Linked DNA regions of Ovis aries. The protein of the gene in region 3 binds, or shares a complex with, the protein of the main gene of each other region. Links are inferred from orthologs where the notes say so. Each region holds a gene or a part of one and is shown on either strand. Other genes may lie near its edges.

Evidence for each region.
Region 1: IGF2BP1 (region 3) and DHX9 share a complex: the UniProt entries of both Homo sapiens proteins name them as parts of the coding region determinant (CRD)-mediated complex. The link is inferred for Ovis aries from reciprocal best matches to the Homo sapiens genes IGF2BP1 and DHX9.
Region 2: IGF2BP1 (region 3) and ELAVL4 share a complex: the UniProt entries of both Homo sapiens proteins name them as parts of the TAU mRNP complex. The link is inferred for Ovis aries from reciprocal best matches to the Homo sapiens genes IGF2BP1 and ELAVL4.

Annotation. Positions count from the first base shown.
Region 1 is NC_056065.1:63,343,435-63,347,816, reverse strand, and holds the start of DHX9 (ATP-dependent RNA helicase A), read right to left. Parts: upstream 2,845-4,382; 5' UTR 2,723-2,844; intron 1-2,722. UniProt on the Homo sapiens protein: Multifunctional ATP-dependent nucleic acid helicase that unwinds DNA and RNA in a 3' to 5' direction and that plays important roles in many processes, such as DNA replication, transcriptional activation, post-transcriptional RNA regulation, mRNA translation and RNA-mediated gene silencing.
Region 2 is NC_056054.1:24,708,208-24,711,852, reverse strand, and holds part of ELAVL4 (ELAV-like protein 4), read right to left. Parts: intron 1,868-3,645; coding exon 1,642-1,867; intron 1-1,641. UniProt on the Homo sapiens protein: RNA-binding protein that is involved in the post-transcriptional regulation of mRNAs. Plays a role in the regulation of mRNA stability, alternative splicing and translation.
Region 3 is NC_056064.1:37,251,221-37,254,865, forward strand, and holds part of IGF2BP1 (insulin-like growth factor 2 mRNA-binding protein 1), read right to left. Parts: intron 3,341-3,645; coding exon 3,221-3,340; intron 2,418-3,220; coding exon 2,343-2,417; intron 1,633-2,342; coding exon 1,501-1,632; intron 1,080-1,500; coding exon 852-1,079; 3' UTR 1-851. UniProt on the Homo sapiens protein: RNA-binding factor that recruits target transcripts to cytoplasmic protein-RNA complexes (mRNPs). This transcript 'caging' into mRNPs allows mRNA transport and transient storage.

The DNA.
Region 1 (4,382 bases), on a different chromosome or scaffold from region 3:
GGTCATCAATTATTTCGTATATAAATCCAATAGTTTACCCTCATTCGCACTGTCTCCTAGCAGACGGTCCTCAAAGCTGCAAGCAATATATTGTTAGTAAGTCCAAATACATAAATTAATCAGTACTTAAAATAATTAATGAACCTAAATATATTATACCAAATCTTTAGGCCTTGATATTCATTAAAATTTGGAAATATTACATCTTCTTGAAAAACAACATATTGCACTTGTTAGCATTCTCCCTCTACTCCCTCTATAAGATAGCAAAAGATATTCAGCCTAGGTCTAAAATCTGAATTTAAATTACTAGCTAAGTATCTGGGACTAAATTTAGAACCAGAGAAAATACACTACAAATTCAATTTGCTGTGATGTGAGAGGAAACTCCAAAAAGTCTGTCTTCTGGTGATGCTCAGTGTATTTTGTTAGCACCTAAGTCTTGTGTCATCAAACTGGACTTAGTATAAAGTTTATTTTGTAGTCAGTCACCCTGTTGTTGTTCAGTTGCTAAGTCATGTCGGACTCTTTTAGACCCCATGGACTGCAGCAAACCAGGCAGACAGTCCTCCACTATCTCCCGGAGTTTGCTCAAACTCAAATCCATTGAGTCAGTGATGCCATCCAACCATCTCATCCTCTGCAGCCCCATTCTCCTTTTGCCTTCAATCTTTCCCAGCATCAGGGTCTTTTCCAATGAGTCAGCTCTTAGATGGCCAAACTACTGGAGCTTCAACTTCAGCCCTTCCAATAAATATTCATACTTGATTTCCTTTAGGATGCAAATCTCCTTGCACTCCTAGGGACTCTCCAGAGTCTTCTCCAGCACCACAATCTGAAAGCATCAATTCCTTGGGACTCTGACAGTAAAGAATCTGCCTGTAATGCAGGAGACCCAGGTTCAAGCCCTGGGTGGGCAAGATCCCCTGCAGAAGGAAATGGCAACCCACTCTAGTATTCTTGCCTGGAGAATAATTCCATGGACAGAGGAGCCTGGTGGGCTACAGTCCATGGGGTCACAAAGAGTTGGGACACGACTGAGTGACTAACACACACCCACACCCCACAAATACACCCACACCCTTCTTTATGATCCAACTCTCATGTCTGCAACTGACTACTGGAAAAACCAAACTTTGATGATGCGGACCTTTGTCTGCCAACTAAGTTAACCCTGGAGACACCCAATTAACGAAAAGCTGTGGAAAGCTAAGGATATCTATCTACAAATTGCAACCATGAATAATCAATTTAAAAAACAAGCCCTCAAGGTGAACGAGTTAACATGGAATATGAAGGACTACACTATCAAATTCCTTCTTCCCTCGGTAGTCTCATCTAACTCCATAATATTAAACACCAACTATATCATAATGATAACCAAATATATACTAAACATTTATAGTCTTTTTAACCTCCCAAACCAAATTCATCTAACAGACCCATTTGGATGCTACCTTGGCATCTCAGTCAATACAAAACTTTAAATTTCTTCCCCAAACCTGTTCTTCTTCCTCCCAAGCCCAGTTTTCCCATCTCCCCAAATGGCACCACCATTCACCAAGTTACTCACGGTGTGGGATCTACCCAGTCCCTGAAGATCCTCTATAGCCATCCCTTGTTATGTACCCGTCAGTATCCTTAAAGGAGCACCTACGTGAACTATTTTACTTAACCTTTACAACACTGTGCAAAAAGCATTATTATTATTTCCTTTTTACAGATGAGTAAACTAAGTCAAGAATAACCTGCCCCAAGAGACAGAGCTCCTAACTGGGGGACCCAGAATTTCCAGCCAGGTAGGCCACTGCTCATCCACTGCCCACTTCTGCCTCCAAGGCAGGTGTCCCATCTCCCTGCTATCACTCTGCACACCTGGAGTGCGGGAATGACGTCCTCAACGATTCCCACTTCCTCCACTCTAGCTACCCCCGAATCCTTGCTTCCCTTAAATTCTCACCACACTCCAGTCACATGGCCTTCTTTCAGTTTCCAACGCCTGCCTGTTAACACTCACTACTCCCTTCGGCCTCTGCGGTTCTGCCCCCTCCTCCGCCGCTGACGCATCCTCCGCCCCGCGGCCGACAGTTCAAAGGTCTACTACCTCCTCCGGGACGCCTGCCCTCGCCACCCGATCTCAAGTGGCTCTCTCCCTTTACACTAATTCCTCGCCACCTCTTGACGGAAACCTGCAGACGCCTGTTTTCCGACTGCCTCCCTCTCCCCCAACCCCAACCCCTGGAAAGGAAGGGCCGGGACGCTGCCTCAGCCCTTTACTCTCTGTCTACAGCGGCCGCAGAACAGCGCCCCCGAAACAACAGCCCGTTCTGTGCGTCTTGAACGACCGAAGGGCCCTAAGGCGAGCGCGGGGCCTCGGCGGGCTCAGCCCCACAGGACGACTCACCCCGCCCCCACACACCTTTCCCTCTGCGGCGAGAGCCGCGCCGCCGCGCTAGGCCGGAGGAGGAAGTGCGGCCTGGCCGTTAAGCAGACCGGGCCGGGAAAGGGTGTGCGAACAAGCAGGGCAACAACGGGGCTCCCCCGACCTCACGGGCAGCGCAGCGCGGCGGGCAGCACGCAGCCCGCAATCCGGGAACCCGGCGAGGCGGCTCCCCACCCCCACCCCAACCCGCCACCGCCCGCGCCACCGAACAAAGCCCTGCTGCAGAGCCGCGGGGCCCACGCCGGCCCAAGGAAAACCACAAGGCCGTTTTCCCCTTACCCTCTTCTGCTTTCCTGGTGCCCGAGAGCACAGCCCTCTTAGGACCGTCCGTAGCACGGGCTTTTAGCGACGGACACCGGAGAGCAAACCGCAACTTGCAAGAAAGCGGCTGCGAAATGGCTGCGATCGCGGCGCCAGGGGGCGGGGCCAGCGCTCTGCGCATGCGCAGAAAGCGAGCTGGGGGGCGGGGCGGGCGGCCCAGGCCGCCGTGAGGGAAGGGCGGGGCTGCGGCTACGTAGCGGCCGTTAGTTTCTGGTCGCCCGGGAGATGGGGCTGCCAATGGCGCCCGCGGTCCCGGCCTGACTTCCTTGTGTAGCGTTTGAAAGTTTGGGCGACTTGGGGGACCCGGTAGCATTTTAATGCATCAAAATGTTTTGCAGCTTTTGTCATAGGGACCTGTGGTAGATGAGGTGCCCTTCCAAGACAGAACTGAAATGTTAGGTGCTAACTTTATAGGGTTTTTGTTTTAGCTCCTAAGTCTTGTCTGCCCGCCAAGCTCCTCTGTCCATGGGGTTTCCCAGGCCAGAATACTGGAGTGGGTTGCATTTCCTTCTCCCGACCCAGGGATGGAACCGGTGTCGCCTGCATTGCCAGGCGAGCTCTTTACCTGGTGAGCCACCGGGGAAGACCTCAGAGGCTTGTTAGGGTAGTTAAACTAGACACCATGTGAAGTGGGCTTATTGTGTGTTCCTGACACACAGTAGGTGTTCAACAGATACTGTTGTAGTGATTAAAATACTCTTAACAGGAATGTCTCCTGAGAGAAATAATCTCAATGAAGGCAGGAACTCTGCCTGGCTCACTCAGGCCACTCTCTGTGTTAACGGAGTCCAAGCGTACTCTGCCTGCTACATGGACAGGCCAATGAATCAGAGGGGCGAGCTTGAAGCAAGGAATATGACTTTATGTTCAGAGAGCTGACTGGCCAAGAAGATGGCAGACAAATGACTCCAGATTGGGGGAGGTGAAGAAAGAAAATAGAAAGGCCATTAATCTTGCAACTATCTCCTAGAAAGAGAAGCCTCAAACAGAGATGTGTTCATTTCTTCCTTCCTGCCATCTACAGATGGACCGGGGTCTGAACAAAGACACTTTAACAGGCAGAGGGGCAAGATTCTCTCAGGCAGGCCATTATGTATGATTATAATAACAAAAAACTAAAAGTCAGTCAGATAGTTCCAAAGTGGAGTCAGAACTGGTTTTTCCCTGCTACAACTGGGGTACATATCACATGCTTACTAAAATGAATAGATTAAAAACTGTAAGGTTGTTTTTGCTCAAATTGGATATCCTTTTGTCTTCAGTCTTTGAAATAATTTGTATTGTTAACTATTGTAGTAGTCACTTAAATTTTTGAACTCTAGTGCTTCCCACAGAGTCAATAGTACAGAATATTTCAAGTTGGGATTGTTCCAGAGAATCCAGACTAATCAATTATCTGACCCCATCATACCTACCATCCTTATTTTTCACCTCTTTCGCTAAGTTTTTTTCCCTAACTCTTCTAGCTCATTGTGGTTAGTCCCTTGTTTTAGTATTTCTCCTATGATTAGAATAACACAGCATTTACTCAATCTTATTTTCCTCATGGGTTTGCTGTCTTCAACTGAAAACAAAACCATTCAGGAAAACACCTTAATCTTTTTCTTTGTCCCTTTCA
Region 2 (3,645 bases), on a different chromosome or scaffold from region 3:
CAAAGAGAAGGAGGGTCTCTGGGTTAATGCCTCACAGATGGCAAGATCGCTCAATGGAACTATTAATAAGAATGCTCCATTTTCAAAGAAGAAAAGCTCAAAAACTTTCCCCAGCGCTCGGGAGCCTATCCACTGGTAGTTTCCCCTTTTCCTACCTAAAGTAATTCATGTTGAGGTCAATGTTAGAGTTTAAAGCAAGTGTCTAAATGAACCTTCCTTTATTTCAAGGTCTAAATTAATCTCACTCCCCTCCCCTCCATCTCTTAGAACATGTGTGGATATTATTTATGTTGTGTGTGAAATTTTTAAAAAAGGGACTGATGGCTTCTTATGTTGTTCACCTTTTATTTTAATGAAATTTGTGAATAAAGGTCTCTGTGATGGATTAACAATACATGCACACACATCATGCCTATCAGAATGGATTTTTCTTAGTAGCCTGACTACTTTAACTAAATCTTCTTACCACACACATTTTTGGGCAGGAGAGAGGGTTCAGAGTTTTTTATTTATTTTTTAAACCAGCTTACTATTTACAACCTGAGAGCACCTCCCAGCAAATTGCCATTTTGTTACAATCTCCTTCATGTTCAGTATCTTACTCAGGGACAAGCTTTTCACATCATGGGGCAGTAGTAACCATAGTTTCCACCATTAGAAGCCTGCTGGAAAGGCTTTTTACATAAATACTGCATGTGCTCTCACACAAAATAAAAATTAAATGACTTGGACTCTTCATGAAATCATTAACCGTTTCATATTCAGGGGGCATGGGAGGACACTCGGAGGCTGATTTTTCTCCTCTTTGTGGCCAGATGGAAGGGCCTACTATCCATGTGATGTTTGAAAAAGAGAAAGACCCTTTCATCAAAGGGAAGTTAGGGCATGGGTCGACTAAAATAATTATTTAGAATTATTGTGGGTAGGTTAACAATATTCTTATCTCTTGTACAGTAGAGACTGGTCAATGTCAGATTGCCTTCATGGAGAGATATCTGCCTTTTAGAAATGTCTCAGGAGAAGCAGACATCCCACTGCACCTGGAGCTTCCTAGGGGTTGGGTACCTCAGGGAAATGCTAATAAGGCTTGGACAAAGCCTTCCTCCTTGTCTTCCCAAAGTCTGCTGACTTGATGTCAGAGAGAAGTTAACACAGAAGAGCAGATCTCCCCACTCAACCCAATAGAAGCACCGGCAAGAGAAAGAGGAGAGCAGACCATACCACTCCCTTTGGCAAGGACATGCCTCCTGGGCTACTCTTTTCTTTGACTTCATTAAAAGTCATTCACTGCCTTAGCCTTAAGTCTAAACTGCTGAATGTAGTCCCTTATCTGTGATGAACTCCTGTTGAAACTGAACCTTCTTACCTGGTTAAATGTAGAAATTTGTTTCAATCAAAGAATCTGAAGTTTAGTCACAGTCATGTGCTAGTTTGAAAGTCATGTGCTAGTTAGAAGAGCCTCCTGGCCCCGTCATCACGTTTTACAGCAGTGGAAACTGAGGTTCAGGGGGAGTGTCCCGCAGTGATTCCAGGGGGCAGATGTCCTCACTCAGCCACATCCTTCAGGGCCAAGGGCTTCCCTGGCTCTTGCCCAACTCTGTACTCGTGTAATAGGGCTCTTGCGCCTGCGGGTGCACCTACCTGAACCTCTGAGCCTGGTGGTGAAGTGGGCCAGGGTAGCGCCGGTTGGGGGACTGGTAGAGCTGGGAGAGCAGGGCCTGGCTGGACTTCTGGCTGGGGTTGTTGGCAAACTTCACAGTAATCGGTTCCGTAGCACCGCTGGGCTTCTGGCCATTCAGGCCTTTGATTGCTTCTTCTGCCTCAATCCTCTTATCAAATCGGATGAATCCCACCCCTCTGGACACTCCTGGGGAAAGAGAAAGCCTTTGTAAACAGTGAACAAACCAAACTGGTAAAGATCCCCAGGAAGTTATGGGCGAGTCCCATTGCTGTTTCTAGGGAGTCAGCCCACTTGTGGGGCCAGGGCTGAGCCTGGCTTCCTGAATCTCTCTCACCCATCAAAATGCATCTGCCTGCCTTTTTTGCTATCATGGCTCTGGGCTGGCAATTCCTGCCTATAGAACACAGGCATATTTCACATCTGTCCCTTCCTGCCTTCCTCCACCATCCTGCTCAGCCCTCAAGCCTTCCTTTAGTTGCTGTAACTGATCATCTGCTGTCCAGTTTCTAGCCCCTCAATGTGCCCTCCATACCTGGCAACTAAGTAATCCATTTGAAAGCAAACTCTGACCATATGATACCCTTTAAAAACACCATTTATACCTTTTTGTACCTTTTCTGTTTTTTACCCTGTGAATGTACCTGTTCCTCATTGTTCCCTACTCCAATGGCAGAAAAACAAATGAACAAAACCCATAAAAAACCCTTCCATGGCTCCAGGTGGCATACAGAGGAATTCCAGACTTGTTGGCATGGCATTTAATGCCCCTGATGATCTGGTCCCAACTCCCTGTTGAACCTCATGTAAGCCAAGCTAACTGCCAGACAGTCCTTGAATAGGCTGTGTTCCTCCTCGACTCCGTGCCTTTGGGTATGTTCTATCACCTATTCTATGGGATATATCCTATCCACCTAGAATGTTCTATCTTTCTTTCCCACTGGACAGCTTCAAGTCATTCTCTAAAACTCTGTTCAAACACCATCCCCTTGATGGAGACTTCCTGAGCTCTCCTGGGGCGCTGGGCAGCTCTAGCTGGTACTCATCACACTGTGGTCTTGTAAGGATGGGGCTGTGACACCTTTGTCCCTGATCTCTGGTGTCCCTCTGCATAGCATCTGGGGCAGAGCTGCCTTCAGTGAGGTTTGTTGCAATAATCAGATGATAAATACACGCTAAACGACTCTCTTGGTGGCCCAGATGGTAAAGAATTTGCATGCAATGCAGGAGACCTGGGTAGGATCCCTGGGTCGGAAAGATCCCTTGGAGAAAGGAATGGCAACTCACTGCAGTATTTTAGTCTGGAGAATTCCATGGACAGAGGAGCCTGGTGGGCTACAGTCCATGGGGTAACAAAAAGTCAGACATGACTGAATGACTAACACTCTCACTTTCAAATGACTCTCAGGGGGTGTTTTTAATTAGAGTAGGTGGAAACCTTCTGTCATCAAAAATGCAACCTGGGTGCCTTTCTTACTGAGAGTTGGTGGCAGCTGCTTTTCTTTATGATAGCCCAAGTACCACAGGATCCAATCCTAGGTTATCCCTGCACTGCTACTAACTGGACAGGTGTCCCACTTTGGACCTCTGTTCTCTTACCTGTGAAATGAGCCAGTTTCAGTTTCCCTTTAACTCTACAGTGCTATCAGAGCAGCCAGAGCTATACACAGAGGTTCTTTTCACATGCAAAAGTAATGTTGTTTGGTTGAGGGTTGAAAGAAACTTTGAAGGTCATTCAGCCCCACTCCCAGCCTGATGGCTGAATCCTCATTACAACTCTGCCAAGTAGTTTAGCTGCTGCTGGAACCATTCCCATGATGGAGCCCTTCTACTTCCCAGGATGGCCCATTTTAAATTTCAGCAGTTGATTGATAAAAAGTCTTTCTTTTAAGTCAAAAAGCTGTCTACTTGTGACCCATATCCATTTCCCTAAGTGACCATTACCCCTCTGCTCCGGTGGGTCACAG
Region 3 (3,645 bases):
TGGTGTCATCTGCATATCTGAGGTTATTGATATTTCTCCCAGCAATCTTAATTCCAGCTTGTGCTTCTTCCAGCCCAGCATTTCTCATGATGTACTCTGCATATAAGTTAAATAAGCAGGGTGACAAGACAGCCTTGACGTACTCCTTTTCCTATTTGGAACCAGTCTGTTGTTCCATGTCTAGTTCTAACTGTTGCTTCCTGACCTGAATATAGGTTTCTATTAATGGCTCCCAAAGGACTGTCAGAGAAAGTTACCACACCACGCTGGGGTCTGGGTTCCTGTTTGGCCCTTGATTTCATGAGCAGCCTCAGGTGGGCCACAAACCTGTTAACAAGCTTATCCTCTGGGAATGAAAGGGGTGGTATCCAATAGCCTTCACAGCCTTCTAGCTCCAACAATCGGGGGTCTTAGGAAAACCCCACTAGTTTCAGTCATCCTGTAATGTGAATCTGATACCTGCCCTCCTTTCTAGACTCTGGGGTCACAACGCTGGGCACTGCTGCCGGGCTCACTGGAAGCAGCACAGAAACGGATGGTGGGTGCCAGGACGAGACCAGGAAGCTGGAAGGACTGGAAGCAAGGATGGAGCAGTGGTTCTGGGAAAGGTGAAGGAAATGCCCTGGAAAAGGGCAACCCATGGTGTCACCCCACAAACCAGACTGGGCAGCGCTAAGACCCATCTCTCTTCTCCAGTGCAAAAGAGAAGGACCACGTGGTTAGACGACAGCAAAGACTATCAACATATAACATACGACATGTAACATTAATAGTTACTGTACATAACATACCTACGAAAACAGTCAAATCACTGTTCCTACAGTCTTAAGAGGGAATAAGACATCTACACATCACACCCTACACCTGGAAGAGAAGAGTGACCCAGGCCAGAGGCAGGCAGAGTCCCGCTCCTCTGATCCCCAGGTTCCTGCCACCCTCCTGTGACGGGGGAGTGCCACATGTACCTGGCTGGCATAGAAATGCCCAATGATCTTGACGATGACCTGGTCGTTCTCATCAGGGGTCTGGTCTCTTGGCACCACCACCTCAGCTGCTGTCAAATTTTGCAGCTCGTTCACCTGGGGGCAGGGGTGAGGGCAGAGGACAGGTCAGAGAGGCGCTTGAGTGCTGACAGTGTCAAACGTGGATGGCAGTGGAGGAAGGGGCAAGAAGTTTAGTCACTAGCTGGTAGAAACTGGAGGATTCAGGAGCTGAGCTTGGAGAGCAGAATCAAGTAAAGGGGCAAAGTGCAAGAACTAAGGCTGAGCAGACCTGGAAGAGCCCCTGGAGAAGGGGATGGCCGCCCACGCCAGCATGCTTGCCTGGAGAATCTCACGGACAGAGGAGCCCGGCAGGCTACAGTCCATGTTGCAAAGAGTCAGACACAACCAAGTGACTCACACTCAGAGGTCACTCAGCCTGGGGAAGTGGGGGCCAGGGCAGAGCTGTCAGGCTCAGGGACTAACATCCAGAGCTTCCGACCTGACCCTCATGGCTCACCGTCTTGCCACCTTTGCCAATGACCCGGCCGGCTGCTGACGCTGGCACCCGGATATGGGTCTCCAGCTTTACTTCTTCCTTGGGACCAAAGAAGTTCTCCTCCTTGAGTTTTCCATAAATTCTTCCCTGAGCCTGAGAAAAGGAGGTCACTGTTATGTTGGCAATACAGGTATACATGACAGACGGAAGCGCCCCACGCCCCACTCCCTCGTGAGGGGCAGATCACCGCCTCGGACAGGCAGCGCGAAGGGTCCACAGCACTGACCTGTCAACACTCCTGCTCACTTCTAACACTGGGAGGCCTGGGCAAAGTAACTGAATATGAATACGTAACTCCCCAGACGAATACAGTACCTAAACCACAAACCAGACCTGAGGGGTCTGGGAGGCTTGCGTGGACTCGGACAAGCAGTGAATGGCAAGTCAAGCCCTGAGTGGCAAGTGGAGGAGTCACTCAGTGGCAGGCTGCTGGTCACTGTACACAGCCTAGGGCTGTCCCCATTCTCCATCCCTCCCTAGATCAGAGCAAGTGACTTTCTTAGCTCTTTGGCTGGCTGTCAGAAGTCCGAGAACCTAGGAACGCAGCAAGGACATAAAGGAGAGAAGAGCCTTCCTTAGTCACTACAGCAGAGGGCAAGGAGAGGGCCTTTTTTCCTGTGTGCCTATCCACTCTCAGGAAGCAGAGAGGGAAGGCAAAAGAATGCAAGTTGGATGTCAGTCTGAAAGCAGCTGTGCAGCCCCGAATTTACAGGGAAGCTTAAAATCTGATGCAGATTTGCACTCCCACGCAAACTTGGTTCCCCTGGGTGGGTCCTACTCGAAAAAACAATAAAGATCAGAACCTTGAATTGGGCTTCTGGGGGTCCAGTGATGATGACCATACGAACTTTGGAGTCTGGAGTTTCAGGAGGAGCAATCTACAAAGCAAACAGTGGTCACAGATAAGCACTCTATCGCCCTCTCCTCCAGAACCCTACCAACACCCTGCTTCGACTTCCCACTTCTGATGGCCTAGAGAGTGAAGAACAAACACCCCAGACCCAAGGCTATTGGCCCTGTGTCAAAACTCTTACGAGGGCACAAGCGCATTTGTTTCTTGACGTTTTCTAAGTAGGACCTCCCTGCTCACCGCCCAGAGGGGTTCAGTTGAGTCCTGCCAAGAAGGACCACTGGTGGTGGGGGCAGTAGAAGGGAACGGACTGATCTCCTAGAGAATCTCTGGGAGCCCTTATTCACCAGAGAACATAGACTCCATCTGACCAAAACCTTGCAGACCACTAAAACCAATGGCTTTAGACTTGTGAAATTTAACAAAGTATTCGTTCACTGTGACAGGTTCTCCCTGACCAGGGAAGGTGGAAACAGCTAAAATTTACCAAGCAACCACTGTGCACCAAGCACTGAGCTGGGGGCTTTGGCTGCATCATCTCAGATTATTCTCATCACTACTATACTGACGGGGAAATGAAGGCTCAGGTACTACAGCTCAAAAACTGGGATTGAACCCAGTCAGTCTTGCCTGAACTGAAGCTCTCCTGTGCTACGATACCACTTCCTCCCTTAGTCTGAAAGTGAAGTCGAAAGCAAAAGGAACTGGGAGCCCACAGGAGAGAGCCCTAACGCTAGGCAGATGGGGTGTCTGAGAACCAAAGGAGAGGGAGATGGGAGCAGAGAGCCGCCACCCCCACCCCGGGAACCAGAAGAGAACAGAGCTGGTCACCTTGATGGAGGCGCTGGCGAAGCGGGAGAGCTGTTTAATGTGCTGCCCCTTCTTGCCGATGATGGCGCCCACCGCCTGGGCAGGAATGAACACCTGCACCATCTCCTGCTCTGGAGCCTGCTGCCAAGACAGGACATGTCATTAGTGCAGCTCGCATCAAGGGGCACAGCCCGGAAGCCCCTCCATGGCCCTGCCCTGCACTGTCAAGAAGGGGTGCAGCACCCAGACACCAGCCTGGGCGACCTGCTCTGCAGCTCTCCCAAGGCCCCACAGGGACAAACAAAAGAAGCTGGACCAGAAGAAGACGAAGAGTGCTCCCAGCATCCAAGGCTGCTGTCTACAGGGCTGATGCTCCGGACAGCTAGCGCTAGTGGCTGGGAGCCCTTCCCGTTCCCTGTAAATTACCAAGTATCAGGCTCCCACAA